Arabidopsis thaliana: one gene and its partner. The gene in region 1 interacts genetically with each later gene. Each region holds a gene or a part of one and is shown on either strand. Other genes may lie near its edges.

Region 1 (8,028 bases):
CTCTCATATCAATTAATGTTCATAGGACACTGGAAGTTTCTCTCATACTTGTCTGGCATACATGGTCTTTGCATCTGTTTTGGGATCTTCATCGCTTTGATTGTTATATCTGCAAAGCATAAGTATCCGAAGAGTGTATCTCTAATCATAAACATAGATTCGTCTAATTGATATCCAGTCACAAGCTTGTCAGATGTTTTCTAATATGTTAGCATCATTATTTGGAAATATGCCTTCTATCTGGAAAGGGAGATAGTAAATCTTTGTCTTACAGTGCAGATGTACATTGCCAAAAGTTCAGTTAATGAGTTTTGAAGTTTATCCAGTACTGGTTTTAAGGGTCACTCCCACACAGGAAGATTGTACAGTTGAGCTGCTTTCCTGCAAGGTTGAATGATGAAGATTCCCGTTCTGATTTAGCAGATATATATTCTATTGTTTTCCTTTTACCGACAAATGTTTTGAACCACTGTCTTGCAGTTGGAAGGATCAGAGTTATTGGAGAACCAAAGTGAAAGGTTTTCAGGTAACTTTCCTCTTGTGAAGAAAAGCACTTGGTATCTAATGTTTCAAAAGTAATACAAGTGTTTTCCCATTTCTGGTTCACAGCAATAATGACAAACTGCATGACTTGGAACATGGAACATCCAGAGCCATTTTTGGAAGTTGACGTGAGATTGAATGTCACTCTAGAGGTAGTGTATTGCAGTTCAGTTTCTTTCATTCCTTCATAACTTCATTCTCGTGCAATCCTATTAGCCTTAAGAGTATCAAATACTGCACTGTACCGTGATGGTTGTCTGTGATCCATCATTGTGTGGATAGGTCATGTCGACTTATGATTCTCATTTCGGTTTTGTGTATATGAAAAAGCTTTGTTTCCTATGTTCATCAAAATCCCCCTTGTTCATGGCAGATCTCAACGCGACCGTTCACAATGCTTCCAGTATCAGCTGTTGAGGCTCCTGGGAATCTGTAAGTGTACATTATTGTTCGTTTTACATTTCTTCTGCTTCTTGGCTCGAAGTGCCCGAGTAATGTTATATTTTGATACGATGATTGCAGAGTAATGCAGACACTGGTCGATACACTGGTTCCCCTTCTGCTTCAGCAATTACTTAAAGATTACGACGAATGGATTAAAAAACAGCAACGGAACTCCTTAAACGCAACTTCTTAATCTATTACCAATGTTTTGTCAAACGGCCGAGGCAGGATTTGTTGGGTCGTTTTGGCCGTTTGAGATTACAGCGTGTATTAGAGATAGCTCTGAATTACTGCAAAAAGTACAAACAATTAAATGAACAAAATAGATTTGATTCACTTGTATACTTTGGCCTTTTGAGATGAAAGAGATAGCTTTGTATTAAAAGTGCAATGAAATTACTGAAAAAGTACAAACATAAATAAGGTCAAGAGAGATTTGATTCACTCGTAAACTTTAGTCTTTCTTGTGACAAAAATACAGCACAATAAGATTACATAACTTTTTCGTCATCAGTCAAAAGTCTCTAATCCTAAAGGCCAACCCAGTACGAACGGCCATTGGTGTTATGCATCGGAGATGGAGTAGGTGAAGACACCGACCATTCATACCAAACCTGAACCCGAAAATCAGAGGATCAATAATAGTTCTTTAGACAAAGAGTTAGTTGTATGGAATCTTGTGGTTTCAACTTTTTTTACCTTTGAGGAACCACAACACCTCCAAAAGTGTACTTCTAATGGAGTATCAGGGTGAACCTCCACAGGCTTCCTCAATGGGAAAAAGATTGGGAACCTGCCAAAAGGAACACGATTTTCTCTCGGTTGAAGTAAGAGGTTCGATAGAAGAAAGCTCTGTTTTAAAACATTTATAGACATTAATCCATTACCAGCTGAACATGTTTGGTGTTGCTGTTGTAGGCTCGATCCCAAGATGAACATCTTTATAAAGGACGGAATCAAAATAGCCAGCGAATCCTATTATGATCGCAGTAGATTCAGTTTCAGATTACGGAAATGGAGATGTAAAATTGACATTAACAAACAAAAAAGGGCTAGAAAAAAGCAGGTACCATGCACCAAAGCTGAGCCAGCATCGCTTGGTAGACTGAACTGAAGCTTCTTATAGCGTTGGTTGTTGACTTTCGTTGAGAAGTTTGGATGAGTAAATGTGAAAACCTATTTAAGACCAAACCAAAAATCCTGAGATGGTCAGATCGACAAGACTTGCATAAATGTATTTAAAGAGAACACTTTAAGCTATTAGAAAATGCTGGAGACAGAGAGAGACTCACAGACTGGGAAGGAGCAAGCTTTGCTACACTATGCAGCTTGACAACATAAGCAGTTTCAAAGTGCGCAAGATCTTTATGAGCCTTAACCTGCCAAATGGATGAAAAAGAACTTGAGTTAATCTGAAAACTCTTGCGAGTACATAGCAAAAAGCAGAAGAACCTACGTCATTGTAAAGCTTCGAAGCTGTTATAGGCTGTATGAAACTTGTATACCTGAAAAAGTAATAACGATGTTCCTCCTCCAGTTAGAGAAACAAAAGGACAGATGAGTTTCTTATGAAATTTCAACTAAGCGAAGGAGTACACATACGAGGATGGTATTGAAATTCCGTCTGGCTTCAGAAACCTTTGGGCTCCATCAAGACACTCAGGAGAAAGTTCATTGTCTCCAAAAGAACCCAGCAGTTCGCTAACCTGCATAGAAGAGGCAAACGAGAATTAGATGAACTGTATATAATGTCAGCATGAGTATTAGCTACAAAAATCTGTACATACTGACCAATATATCAGCTTGCTCGGGAGCATTCCAAAAACGCATGTCACAGGATATTATCGTAACAACGTCTTCCCATCCTTCCATCTTAACCAAATTCTATCAGAAAAAATAACAATGCTCTGAGTTAATTAGAAACCACACTGCACGTCCGAATGAAATCACAGGAAAATTAGCAATTTTTTAATCGACTCAGTGCTGACAACTCACATGGAGTGTTACAACGGCATTAGGATTCTTTTCCACGGCATAAACTTTCAACTTCCGATCAGTTTCTTCAGCTGCCTGGTAAAGGAAACAATGAACACATTTGATTAATGAAACAAATGAATTTTCAATGTCTCCTTGTGCATCAGGACTTTACCTGTAACGATGCCCTCACAAGGGGTCCCCTTCCTGCCCCCACAACCATCAGGACCTAAAAACTAAAATTTCAGTCCTACTGAAGTATTTCATATGAATAGCAGAAAAAAAACTTATAAATGAAAATGCCACTTTGTAAGCAAAACATTGACATATGACATACAGTAGTCAACTCGGATGCTTTTTCATCAGGTACCCTGTCCACCAAGGCTTTCTCAACTGCTCTTTGATACTAACAACACAAAGATGGACGAAAGTTAAGCATGCTTTAAAAAAAAACCAGGCTATGATATTAAATTGTTCAACATGATTCATCCATCAGTCCACTCTCCTCTGCAAACCGAAGCAGAAATAGACGAGGGGAAATCTAGAAACCAAAGGAGTTAAAATTTAAGATGTGAGGGGAAAAAACTAGAATATGCAACATACTTGGATGTATTTAACAGAGTCTCTCTCAAACGTCTCATAGGTTTGGGCTTCGAGGTTGTCCATAAGAGGCTGTATTCATTAAAAAAAAAACAGTAGAGGCTCTTTACAGTAAGAATAGAGCATTTTCATACAGGGTAAATTATCATGATGAACGGACAGAAATCAGAATTGCTTATGAAAAGAGGCTAACCTGCAGGGGTGCCTGCAAAAAATCCCTGTAACCCAGCTGTACAAAGAGTAAGATTTAGATAACTGTCAGAATAGAGTTGTATCTGCCAGCTTGCATCTAGTGATAAAAAACATAGAAGGACTGAGGCAAAAGGATGCAAAAAACGACCTCGATGCGTTCCTGTTCAGAAAGTGATTCCATCTTTTGGAACAGATAAGCAACATAGTCCAAATATATGCGCAGAGGATTCTTCTCTGTACCTGACAAACAATGCCCGTAATAAAATATTTAGCTCAAAACTTGGAATCAACTATGATTATAACAATGCCCGTGATAAATTGAGCTACGGAAAACAAGCCCAGAGGATAATAGCTAATTTTCAGAGGACAAAAGATTATACAGAAAAATTACCCTCCGAGCTAGAATCAAGAGGCTTTTGAAGATTATGAACAGGCTTTCCACAAATTACAACCTGCATTTACAAGATTGATGATAATGAGCACCAGATCGAGTCTAATAGATCTCTTTTGTGAGTCAAAAGAAGATTTTAATTTATTTCTATATCACAAAGAGTGGGATGTTTGTTACCTGGGCAGCATGATCAAAAAATCCTGCTATTAACTTTTGGTGGCGTTTGGACAAGCAAGGATAACCCCGAGCATTTGTTAAGAAAGCCTGCAACGCCAAATTAGAGGCATTTTGTGATTCGCAATACTTCAAAGTGGAGTTTATAATAATGCGGCAAGAAGTCAGGCACTTACATCAGTGCTTAATATGGCTGCTCTCACAGACTCTCCCATCCAGCGCCCTAGTGAAGTTTCAGAGGGTAGTGTACTCCTATATGAAGAAAATGGTGTTATGTTAGTAGAGTGGAAAAAAAACTTTGGGTCCACATTAACAACAATAATCAAGAGTTTCTCTCAACTCACAGAACATCAAGAGCAACAGACAGCTTACTGTCATGCTCACAAAGAAGACGAAACGAATTCCACAGCTCCCAGGAATCATTCTGCATAGAAGAGAGTATATATTAAAGTAATCCTCACACAAAGTGTACAAAAACGTGAACAGATAGGGACATTTATTTGTATTTCTAGGTTTAAAAGGCAGCCACATCAAGTGATTCCAAGGGATCCGCATTAGAGAGTCCCTTAAAAATCTGAGAAGGCACAAAAAGTACTAACAATCTTAAGTTTGCATAAAATTTGATCCAATGTCTTACCAGTCCCTCTGAGGTATCATCCATTGAATCACCTTCAGACTTCACCAGTGGAACCCTTAGCCATAACTTCAGCGCAGAAATGACATTTAAACAAAACAAAGAAGATCCACAAAATGTTAGAGCTTGATTGAAGGTGATCTTGTAAAGAAAAGTCTCATCTGAAATAAAGCTAGACCGGCAGCAAGAAACTCGTAAACCACCTGCAAGGTAGTGAGGCCTTGTAAGATCTGGTTCACACATCTGGCATAATTGGCGCACGATTTCCCTTTAGGAGTGGGAAGAAGGCATGCCTGCAACAAAAGAATTTCTCTTCAAAATCACTTTGCAGGCAAGAAAACAAAGAGAGTGAGTTAAATCCATAGATGCACAAGCACCTGTAAGGAGAGATGAGTAGCCCAAGCTATTTCTTGCTTCAATGTGGTTTCTGAATCCATCCGTAAGACCTCATCTTCAGAATCCAAGTCAATCCACGAACTAATTTTTCCTAGAGAATGAAGATTTACCACTCAAATCAAAACCCATCATATTCATAACGAGTACAAAATCACACGGTGGAGAAGCAAATAGAATCATACCAACAACATGACTGCTCCATTGAGAAGGTGACAAGACTAAGTCAGAGCCACAGACTGGAAGAACCTGAGTATCTACACCATTTCCTTCCACCAAGCTCGGCCTATACGAAGGATCCACCTGCAGGAAGAGAAAGAAGTAAACTCCGTCAAAGATATAAAATTTCAAATCCCAATTGATACAGTAACAACAGGCAAGGACGTGAGAGTCGAGGAAGAAGAAGGAAACAAACCAGAGGAGCGAGAACATAGTCAAAACCGCCGGTGGAAATGTTGAAGTTGAGAAGATGAGTAACATCGTTGGAGAAATCAGTCTCAACGCCGCAGTATCTGGACTCGGTCCTCTCCCATCCTCCTCTCTCTCCGAGCGGCATCTCTTCTTCTCTCTCTATTGAGCTCACAGGGAGTGAAGGAATTTGCAGATGGAAGTGAATCTTCTTTTCTCGAGCGGACGACGAAAACGAAAGGGTTTTTGACAGGGTTTAATTTTACTGATCTGTAGTTTATATCGGGCTTTTCTAATGGGCTTTATGATATGCTATACCTAGCCCATTTATGCCATCCCAAGCTCCAACCATTGGCTCTAAACATGTTAATTGGTTTTGACATAAAAGAGTCTTATGGTTTGTGATAGTAGTACTAGACTACTAGTAGCCACCCGAATTCAAGTGAATATTTACATATTCTTAGAAAGAAAAATGTTGATATAGTGTGTGATTTGAAGTGCTTTCTCATATCAATTATGTCAAATGTAAGAGATATAACCAAAAGATTATTTTTCACAGATACAGCTTATGAATCACAATGCATCAAGGTGCAGAGATGGGTTTCATAACATTCTAGCCAATCATTAAAAAAAAAAAAAACAACAGAAGAAACAAATTATTATTTTCCTAATCAAACAAGTAGAAAACAAATGAAAAACCCTTCTTATACCCAATACCAATAAAAGCATATCATTCTCTCAAGCATCAATCTTGAGATTCACATCCCTGGAGGAAGAGTTCCCATCGATGCTTCTGCTTTCAACTTCATCAAAATGGTCTTCACGGGCGTTATCAGCGAGCATCAGAGCAACCAACCAGAAAAGGCACGAGTCCAAAGACACAAAGGCACCTCCACCAAGCAGACCGGTCTTAGCCGTGGGGCAACTGGTTTCTAAGTTTCGGTGAACATTACGGGTCAAGTGAAGTTGTTCTGTAATGGTTGGCCAGAGCAACAGAGACAAGGCCAGTCCAGATGTTATCCTACACGACAATAACCATAGGTCACAAAAAGACTCCTATTTTTAGGCTTTATAATACCGGAATCCAAGAATATTTGTAATGGTCTAGCTACTGTGTTCTTGAAAAGAAGAGGAAATGCTTACAAGGCAATGTTGAAGAACACAGAGAAGCTGGTGCTTTTGAACAAGACAGAGTTAGGAACAGACTTTCCCTTGTAAGAGATGAACAAGGATTTGTATCCTGCTACAGTGCAGGCAAGGAGAAAAGCAGCAGAAAGGTATCCCAAGGCAACAGTTGGATCAGATGGGTATTTGCAGATAACTACTCCTTTTCCACTTATTGGAGTCCCAGACGCAGGCTAAGATGAAAACACAAAGAACAGAAACAAATCACACAATCAGTAACACATAAGAATAAGAAAGCCGAAGTGGTTTACCCACTTATGAAAAGCTCTTGACATACGGTATCCTAGAGAGATCAGTGACAATGATGAGGTCAAACAATTGTGTAGAAAGAGTAAGATTTAGCTACGGGTCAGTTAAGATCACATTGGTTTCCCATCATTAGATACAATTATGAAGCTGTGAGAAGATCACATTTTTTCATACAATCCAACAATATCACAATATCAGAGTCATAGTCCTGTGACTAAAACAAATTTGACATCCTCCATTCACAGAGAATAGCACAAATAACAACCAAAGCATCCTAAAGAAACAGGAAATCAAAACAATTGATTCATCCATAGTTAGATCACTGTTTGATACATACAATTCCAGAGTGATTATTTCCTGTGCAAAAAAAAAACTAACTTGCGCCAAAAAGCAACAGGAATTGTTTATGTGGTAGTAGTAGATAAACACAAAGAAGAAGAACAAAAATCATCATCGAAAACAAACAGGAAATTTAAAGTTTTCTCACGAAATAATCAAAAGGAGACGACTTTTTTTTGTACCTTCTTGTTCTCGGCGATAACTCCCAAAACAAAGGATAAGACGCCCAAAGCAGAGACGACCAACGACATTTGTTTCATACTAACCGCCATATTTGTTGTATCTTCTTCTCCGTCTAACCTTAACCTATATAATATATCCGAGAGCACACAGATATCAAATTCGATTTCCCCCAAAACATAAATCAGATTTGAAAATCGAATCAACGAACAGAGTCGGAAAAATCGAACTGTAAAAGAAAAACACTCACCGAGACGACGAATGAATCTGGAGATTTGTGGCTTCAGAGAGATAAGAGAAATCGGAAGATATGGTTAGTTAG
Region 2 (6,052 bases), on another chromosome or scaffold:
ATGGAATTGGTGAGAACTTCCTTGATTCCAGCCAATGAACAGTAGTTGTATAAATTGCAAGTGCTTCTTCTGGAGTGACATACGGACCATCTTTCAGGTAATTGTGCTGTCGTTCCTGTAACAGTTTTACAAGGATAACGCATCAATATATAACGCAGTTTCATAAAATGTTCAAACAAAAATGACAAAGTCATTAAGACAATGAACAGACCTGTTCTGCCTTTAGCCAAAGACGAGTCAACCTTCCGAGATTCTTTCTACAAACTGTCTTATCAACAGTAGCCCCTCTTCGGATACGCTCACGATTGTAGTGAGCAACATTCGTCCACCAATCAGCCTTAGACTTGACATAACGCAGGATCATATTTTCAATCGGCACAGGTAACCCAGGGACCTTCCATGGGATATTAGCTTTCCAGCACCGCCATGCCTCACTAAGGTGCTGCAATATAGTCCGCGCTTTATTTTGCTTGATACCCTCTGCACATTATCAGAAAATGTTAACCAAAGAATAAAGCAAAGCAATTTCATCGTTGATAAACAAGTTTGTAAAAATGGAAACCTGGCATAGCATCAAGGACGTCATGCATGACAGCAGCCCGAAGCTCCAGATCAAAATGGCTTTCAACTCTCTGCTTTGTGACTGTTTTGGCCACTCCTTTTGAATGACGCCCCTCAAATTGACGAGCAAGAAGATTCCCTAACCATCTTTCAAGAAGAGGAACTATACCCCGAAGGAAAAACAACCATACCCTCCACATTGGAGCCCAAAATCCACACCCTGGACCCTTACCCACCGGACCAGTATTGAAACGGTAATATATCAAGTGCTTTAAATCCTTGCACATCCGAATCTGCCTCATCAGTCTGTATTTATAACGATACATACCCGTCAACTGGCCAACATGAGAGAAAATATACTGCAGACCATCAGCCAATTGGAAGGCATCGACATTACCAAGTCGGAATTGGACATTTGCATCAACTACAAGTTTTGTCAGGCGGAGGATCTCACGGCACAGATGGAAAGCGTTCCCAAAACGTGACTTCTTTCGCTCTTTGGTGGTCAAAGTTTTCACAGGCTTGAGGTTGAAGTTGTAGTCAAGATGCAGGTAGTTTAAATTCTTCCTATGAATCAGCAGATTCAGCATATTATATCCCTGCCGACAGACTTGCAGACCCACTTCAACCCAATCCAGTTCGGTACTTTGGAAAAACTTTGTAGCTGCAAGAGATCGAAACAAGTGCTTCTTCTTCTGAGCTTTAGGCGGTCTATGGTGCAACTCATTCAGCACATAGCACTTCAATAGCTTTTGGTAACTAACCCGAACTTTAACCGGATAGGCTGGAGGACTGCAGTTAATGAGTTCACAATATGTATTAGGACGGTCACCAGTAAATTTCAAAACGGTAAAGAGGACCAAAGTAGAATAAAAACAAATAGCTTACCAGTGCTCTTTGAACCACTCTGACACCAAGGGAATATCTTCTGCGCGGCGCGTCCTCCCAGACCTCATATTGAAAGGTCGTGGGGCAAACAACAATGATATGCCAGCAGCTGTAGTGTCAGTGTAGAGTTGGGTATCTCTTAGCAAAGGTTCCACACCTTCTGGTAAGGCGAAGTCATCCTCATCATCATAAACCTTCCTTTCACGTTTTTCCTTGTTGGTGTTGCTTATTGGGTGAATCAACGGATCATAATAAAATGCAGGAAGATCGGGATCCTCGGTCTTTATATACATGATCATAGGACTGTGATACACACAGAGTTTTACTTTCCTGGGCCGATTATTGTAGAGATGGGGAAAAGCTATTCTGTACTCAGTACGCAGAGGGGAACGAATAATGAGCTTGTTGATGTCATTAAACTCATTCCAGTCCTCATCCCCTTTCTCCATATCACGGTACAAAGGTTCAAACTTGGGTCCACCTGGAAAAGAGTAGGAGAATGCATTAAAAGCAATGGACCCGCAGCAAAAATATAAAAACTGGAGCATAGAAGGAAAATGGCGTACCAGGTATGCACATGTTCAGAGCTTTTGCTGTGAAGAAAGATGGCATGTCAAATAAGTAGAAGTAGTTGCGATCAATCAAATCAGACAGCAACTGGCCTGCAAGCCTGTGAAGGGTTGCCATGATTGGAAGTGAGAGGTTCCACCTCCGGTAACTGGGACCATTAATCAGTTTTGTTTTAACGAGTGGCTTGTGGTCGTAAAACCAAGTGTGGACAGCAGAATCTTCTTCCTCATCTAGCTCCAATTGAATTGGCTCCAGAGGATCCACGTCCAGCAAGTTGTCTGCATAGTCTAGTGGAGGCTCCTCATCATCAAAAGGTGGGAACCGCATTCTCTTGAAATGACGACGATCCCTCTTCTCCCTTCGCATCATAATCCACATAGTACCCCACTGCAAAACAAGAATGGAATAACCATCAAAAGCTATTGAAAATCCATCAGCGCACAGAGACAGTAAATAAGAGATAAGACTAATCACCAACCTGAGCCATGTAAATAGGTTCCACAACCCATGGTATCTCGTTCACAAATGTAATAGCTCCGGTGATGTGGTACAAAACTTTTACATCTCGGACCTGAAAGAAAATGAGGATTTAGATAAATGAACAGACGATGAAAACAGCTGAAGCTAAAGGAAAAAAAATGTACCTGCTCCCAGGGCATAGGCATGTTCTCCAAGAGCTTGAAAACTGCGTGAGGGACGAATTTAAGGGCTCCAAGGTATACACGTTTGTCGTGACGGAATTTCTTGGATGACATATCACCATGATCTCTGAAGTAAGAAAGAAATCGCAGCTTCAGTCTCAAAATAAGTAAATCCTAACCAAATCTTAGAAACCTAGCCAGAAAATAATTATCAAGTAAACTGTATTTCGAAATGGTAGAGAAAGAAGAGAAGAAAACTAGCCTGATGATCTTCCTGACGTGCTCAGGTGGCATGTCCTCCTTCTGAGTTTCAACGAATCCAAACTTCCTCTTGTCGCCGTACCGTTTGGAATTTAGCTGCATCCATTTTCGGGCCTTCTCCTCAAGCTTAGCCTCCGCTTCCTCAGGAGTAGGCTCGACCGGAGGAGTCGGATTAGAAGGCGGCGGAAGCGCCGTGTAAGAAGGATGAGCAGCGGGAGGTGGCGGCATCATGGACCCGCCAGTACCAGGAGGAGCTAAGGGCATACCATCGTTGTTGTTCCACATAGCTTAGGGTTCCAAATCGAAACGCCGAGCGTAGTCGCGGAGGAAAAAAACCCTAAATCCACCGCGCCAGTGTCGATCTCTAACTACGTTGCGAAGAACTAGTGAGCTTAATCGAGTAAAGAAAAACCCTAAAACATTTTCGGGTGAGTCGCTTCTTCCTTTTTTTTTTTTTTTATTCCCGTTCGGCCTTATATCAGCAGATCAGGAGGAGTAAGTAAAAAAAAAAAATAGGCGGTGTCGAACAGATGCTTAGGCGGTTATCCAAACCCGCTAAGTATTGTCGAATCAAGTTATTGGGCCTTTGATTATTAGATTTGGGCCGTGATGCCCATTGACAAACTTTAATTTGATTTTTTGTTTTGGCATTTATTGGGGAGCTATATAGCAGTAATTGCGGTTTTTCCCCGGAAAACAAACTCTCCCGATTCTCTCGCTCGCTCGCTCAGCTCCTCAACAGTCACCTGAAGGCTGAAGAAGAAGAGCAAAGAGAGCAGAATCTTGTCGGTGAAAATCCGGGAGAATCGGCAATGCGAGAAGAGCATAGTCCGGTTAGGGACGGTCGTCGAAGTGGAGGACTGAGGTCGTTGATAGATCCACGCTTCTTGTCATCGTTTGCTTTAAACGACGGTGGTTCGATTTCTGGACGGAGATCTTCCTACCTGAAACTTCCTCCTCAGGGTCGTATCAAGCTTTCCGTCGTTAAGCTCAACGGCTCCCTTTTCGGTACGATTTTGCTTATCCAGTTTCCGAAATAGCAATTTTAAGAGTTTAGTTTACAATCAAGCTCAACGGTTCCCTCAGTTGGTGATACCCTAATCGATCTCTAATCCGGAATTTTTTGTTGCTGTTAGAAATCATTGTTTAAGAGCCTTAATAGACATAATTTTGGATGAAGTATCAACTAGTTTTTTGGTTACTGTTTCTGATTTGGCCTCTCAAGAAGTTAAATGGTTTCCAACGAATCAATAGATGTGGAAGTTGCAAAGGATTGCTCAGTGGCAGAGCTCAAAAGAGCTGTGGAACAAGTATTCACCATTTCTCCTCTGGAAGGTCACGGCATGATTTCATGGTATATCATCATTTCATATGAAAATTCTCACAGCTTAAGCTTTCTGGTACAGTCGTTCACTTTGATCTTTGCCTACAGGTCTCACGTCTGGGGTCATTTTTGCTTGTGTTATCGAGACCAGAGATTAGTCAATGACAAGACTAGCATCCGTTATCTCGGTCTCAATGATGGAGACCAAGTTCGTTAAACTCCTTCTCACTTCTATATAAGAATCGTATGCACGCAATCTCATTCCTTTGAAAGTCTTAACATCCCTTTCACTCTATTTCAGTTACATTTCGTAAGGCATTTGTCGATAGACCACTCTCCTATGAACAAAAGATCCAAGAGCCCGAGTTGCAAGCGGTACCTCGAGTAAGTACTTTGTAACAATCTTCCTATATCGTCTCTGCATTTCAATGCTCTGCTAAAGAATCCTTGTATGGTAGGTTGGATGTGTCATCCATTGTCAACGAAATCCAAATACAAAACCAAAACCAGAACGGTGTGGATGATGTAGCTGAGAAGTGTTATCCAGGAGCACAAGACGAGTTACCGGCAGCAGAATCCAGACTAGTTAACTTAATTAAAGGATGGTTGCCATATGCTGGACGTTGGGGAGTTTCCAGAAAAGGACCCGAGTGTCGCAGTGGTCCCTCCAGATTTTCTTTGAAGCATTTCGGTGGCAGACCCAAGATGTAAATCCGTAAGTCACAACCTCTTCCTATGTCCCCTTTTTAATCTCTTCCAATGATTATTGGTTTATGAATTTGTTGTCCAGGATTGTATCAAAAGATCCATAGTTTTACAAATTTCATATCTATCTTCATGCATTGTGAAAGCTGAAGGAAGGTACATTTTTATTCGCATAAATTCAGCCTAGAACACAGTAGTAAGATCATCTGATTTGTGATAAAACAAGAATGGATTGAGTATTTGTGTTGATTTTGAATAATTTTGAAGTAATATGGCAAGGTAAACCTTATATAGGCTGAAAATGGTTAAACCCATACCAACCTACTGAGCCCAATAATTGGCCTCACCATTTTGCTGGTCAAACCTATGTTCCACCCGAGAATCTAAGAATGACACGCCCCACCACTAGCATATGCTCATCTTCTTGCCTCTGTTTTATTAAAAAGTAAAAACTGTCTATCGTTGTCATATTTGTCTGTGTGTATAAAGTTAACTTGTTGACAATCTGGATTCATAGGGTGCCATATGGTTCACATCTAATTTAATGTTTTCATTCGATTGAAACCTTCCTAGTAGTTTCAAGTTTGTTTCACCAATGAACCAGGATCTCATTGAATTAATGTTAGATGTAAGCTGGTCACCACTTTCTCAGGTTGTTTTGAGCTTGAGAATATTGTTTCCTTGTACATCTTGAGAAAGTGAAGAATCCGCTCTGAGAGATTTGTCTTTAGATAAACAATCGAATTTTGGCTCTTAATGATCGGATTAGTTCTTGGACGAGTGTAAGGGTTTTGTTCTTGTCTTCATAATAAACTTTTTGTTTTTTTGTTTTTTTGTTCTTTTGTATTTGCTTTCTTGGCTGGTAAAGTGAAAAAATGCAGAAACGGTGGAAGCAAGTGCAGAAGTAGACAGTGAGTGTCAATCTATAGCCAGGCTTGAAGACTTTCATTCTCGTCTATTCTGCATTCTGTGATCCACGAAGAGTATACCACTCAATAAAGTAAAGTAATCCCCAAGGCACAGCCACTGAGGTTGTTACAGGTCAGGATTCTACTTTCTAAAAAAATTGGTATGACTGATGGATCTCAGCATGTGGGTCTAA

Evidence for each region.
Region 2: of SKB1 (region 1) and SUS2, changing one suppresses a phenotype caused by changing the other (phenotypic suppression), as found in Arabidopsis thaliana (one study listed by BioGRID).

Annotation. Positions count from the first base shown.
Region 1 is NC_003075.7:15,130,668-15,138,695, forward strand, and holds SKB1 (SHK1 binding protein 1), read right to left. Parts: upstream 6,030-8,028; 5' UTR 5,902-6,029; coding exon 5,761-5,901; intron 5,649-5,760; coding exon 5,531-5,648; intron 5,440-5,530; coding exon 5,330-5,439; intron 5,246-5,329; coding exon 5,156-5,245; intron 5,022-5,155; coding exon 4,956-5,021; intron 4,743-4,955; coding exon 4,663-4,742; intron 4,571-4,662; coding exon 4,495-4,570; intron 4,409-4,494; coding exon 4,322-4,408; intron 4,206-4,321; coding exon 4,145-4,205; intron 3,994-4,144; coding exon 3,902-3,993; intron 3,791-3,901; coding exon 3,755-3,790; intron 3,634-3,754; coding exon 3,565-3,633; intron 3,368-3,564; coding exon 3,299-3,367; intron 3,191-3,298; coding exon 3,137-3,190; intron 3,058-3,136; coding exon 2,983-3,057; intron 2,872-2,982; coding exon 2,779-2,871; intron 2,694-2,778; coding exon 2,590-2,693; intron 2,493-2,589; coding exon 2,444-2,492; intron 2,367-2,443; coding exon 2,280-2,366; intron 2,164-2,279; and 10 more. Other genes in the region: AT4G31115 (DUF1997 family protein, putative (DUF1997)), read left to right, coding at 280-388, 481-526, 610-695, 917-975, 1,066-1,180; AT4G31130 (keratin-associated protein (DUF1218)), read right to left, coding at 6,492-6,774, 6,897-7,111, 7,709-7,798.
Region 2 is NC_003070.9:30,115,206-30,121,257, reverse strand, and holds the start of SUS2 (Pre-mRNA-processing-splicing factor), read right to left. Parts: upstream 3,412-6,052; 5' UTR 3,207-3,411; coding exon 2,923-3,206; intron 2,788-2,922; coding exon 2,664-2,787; intron 2,591-2,663; coding exon 2,498-2,590; intron 2,407-2,497; coding exon 2,016-2,406; intron 1,931-2,015; coding exon 1,450-1,930; intron 1,354-1,449; coding exon 563-1,353; intron 481-562; coding exon 212-480; intron 116-211; coding exon 1-115. Other genes in the region: AT1G80060 (Ubiquitin-like superfamily protein), read left to right, coding at 3,734-3,929, 4,176-4,275, 4,354-4,453, 4,547-4,629, 4,704-4,956. UniProt on the Arabidopsis thaliana protein: Functions as a scaffold that mediates the ordered assembly of spliceosomal proteins and snRNAs. Required for the assembly of the U4/U6-U5 tri-snRNP complex. Required for embryo development.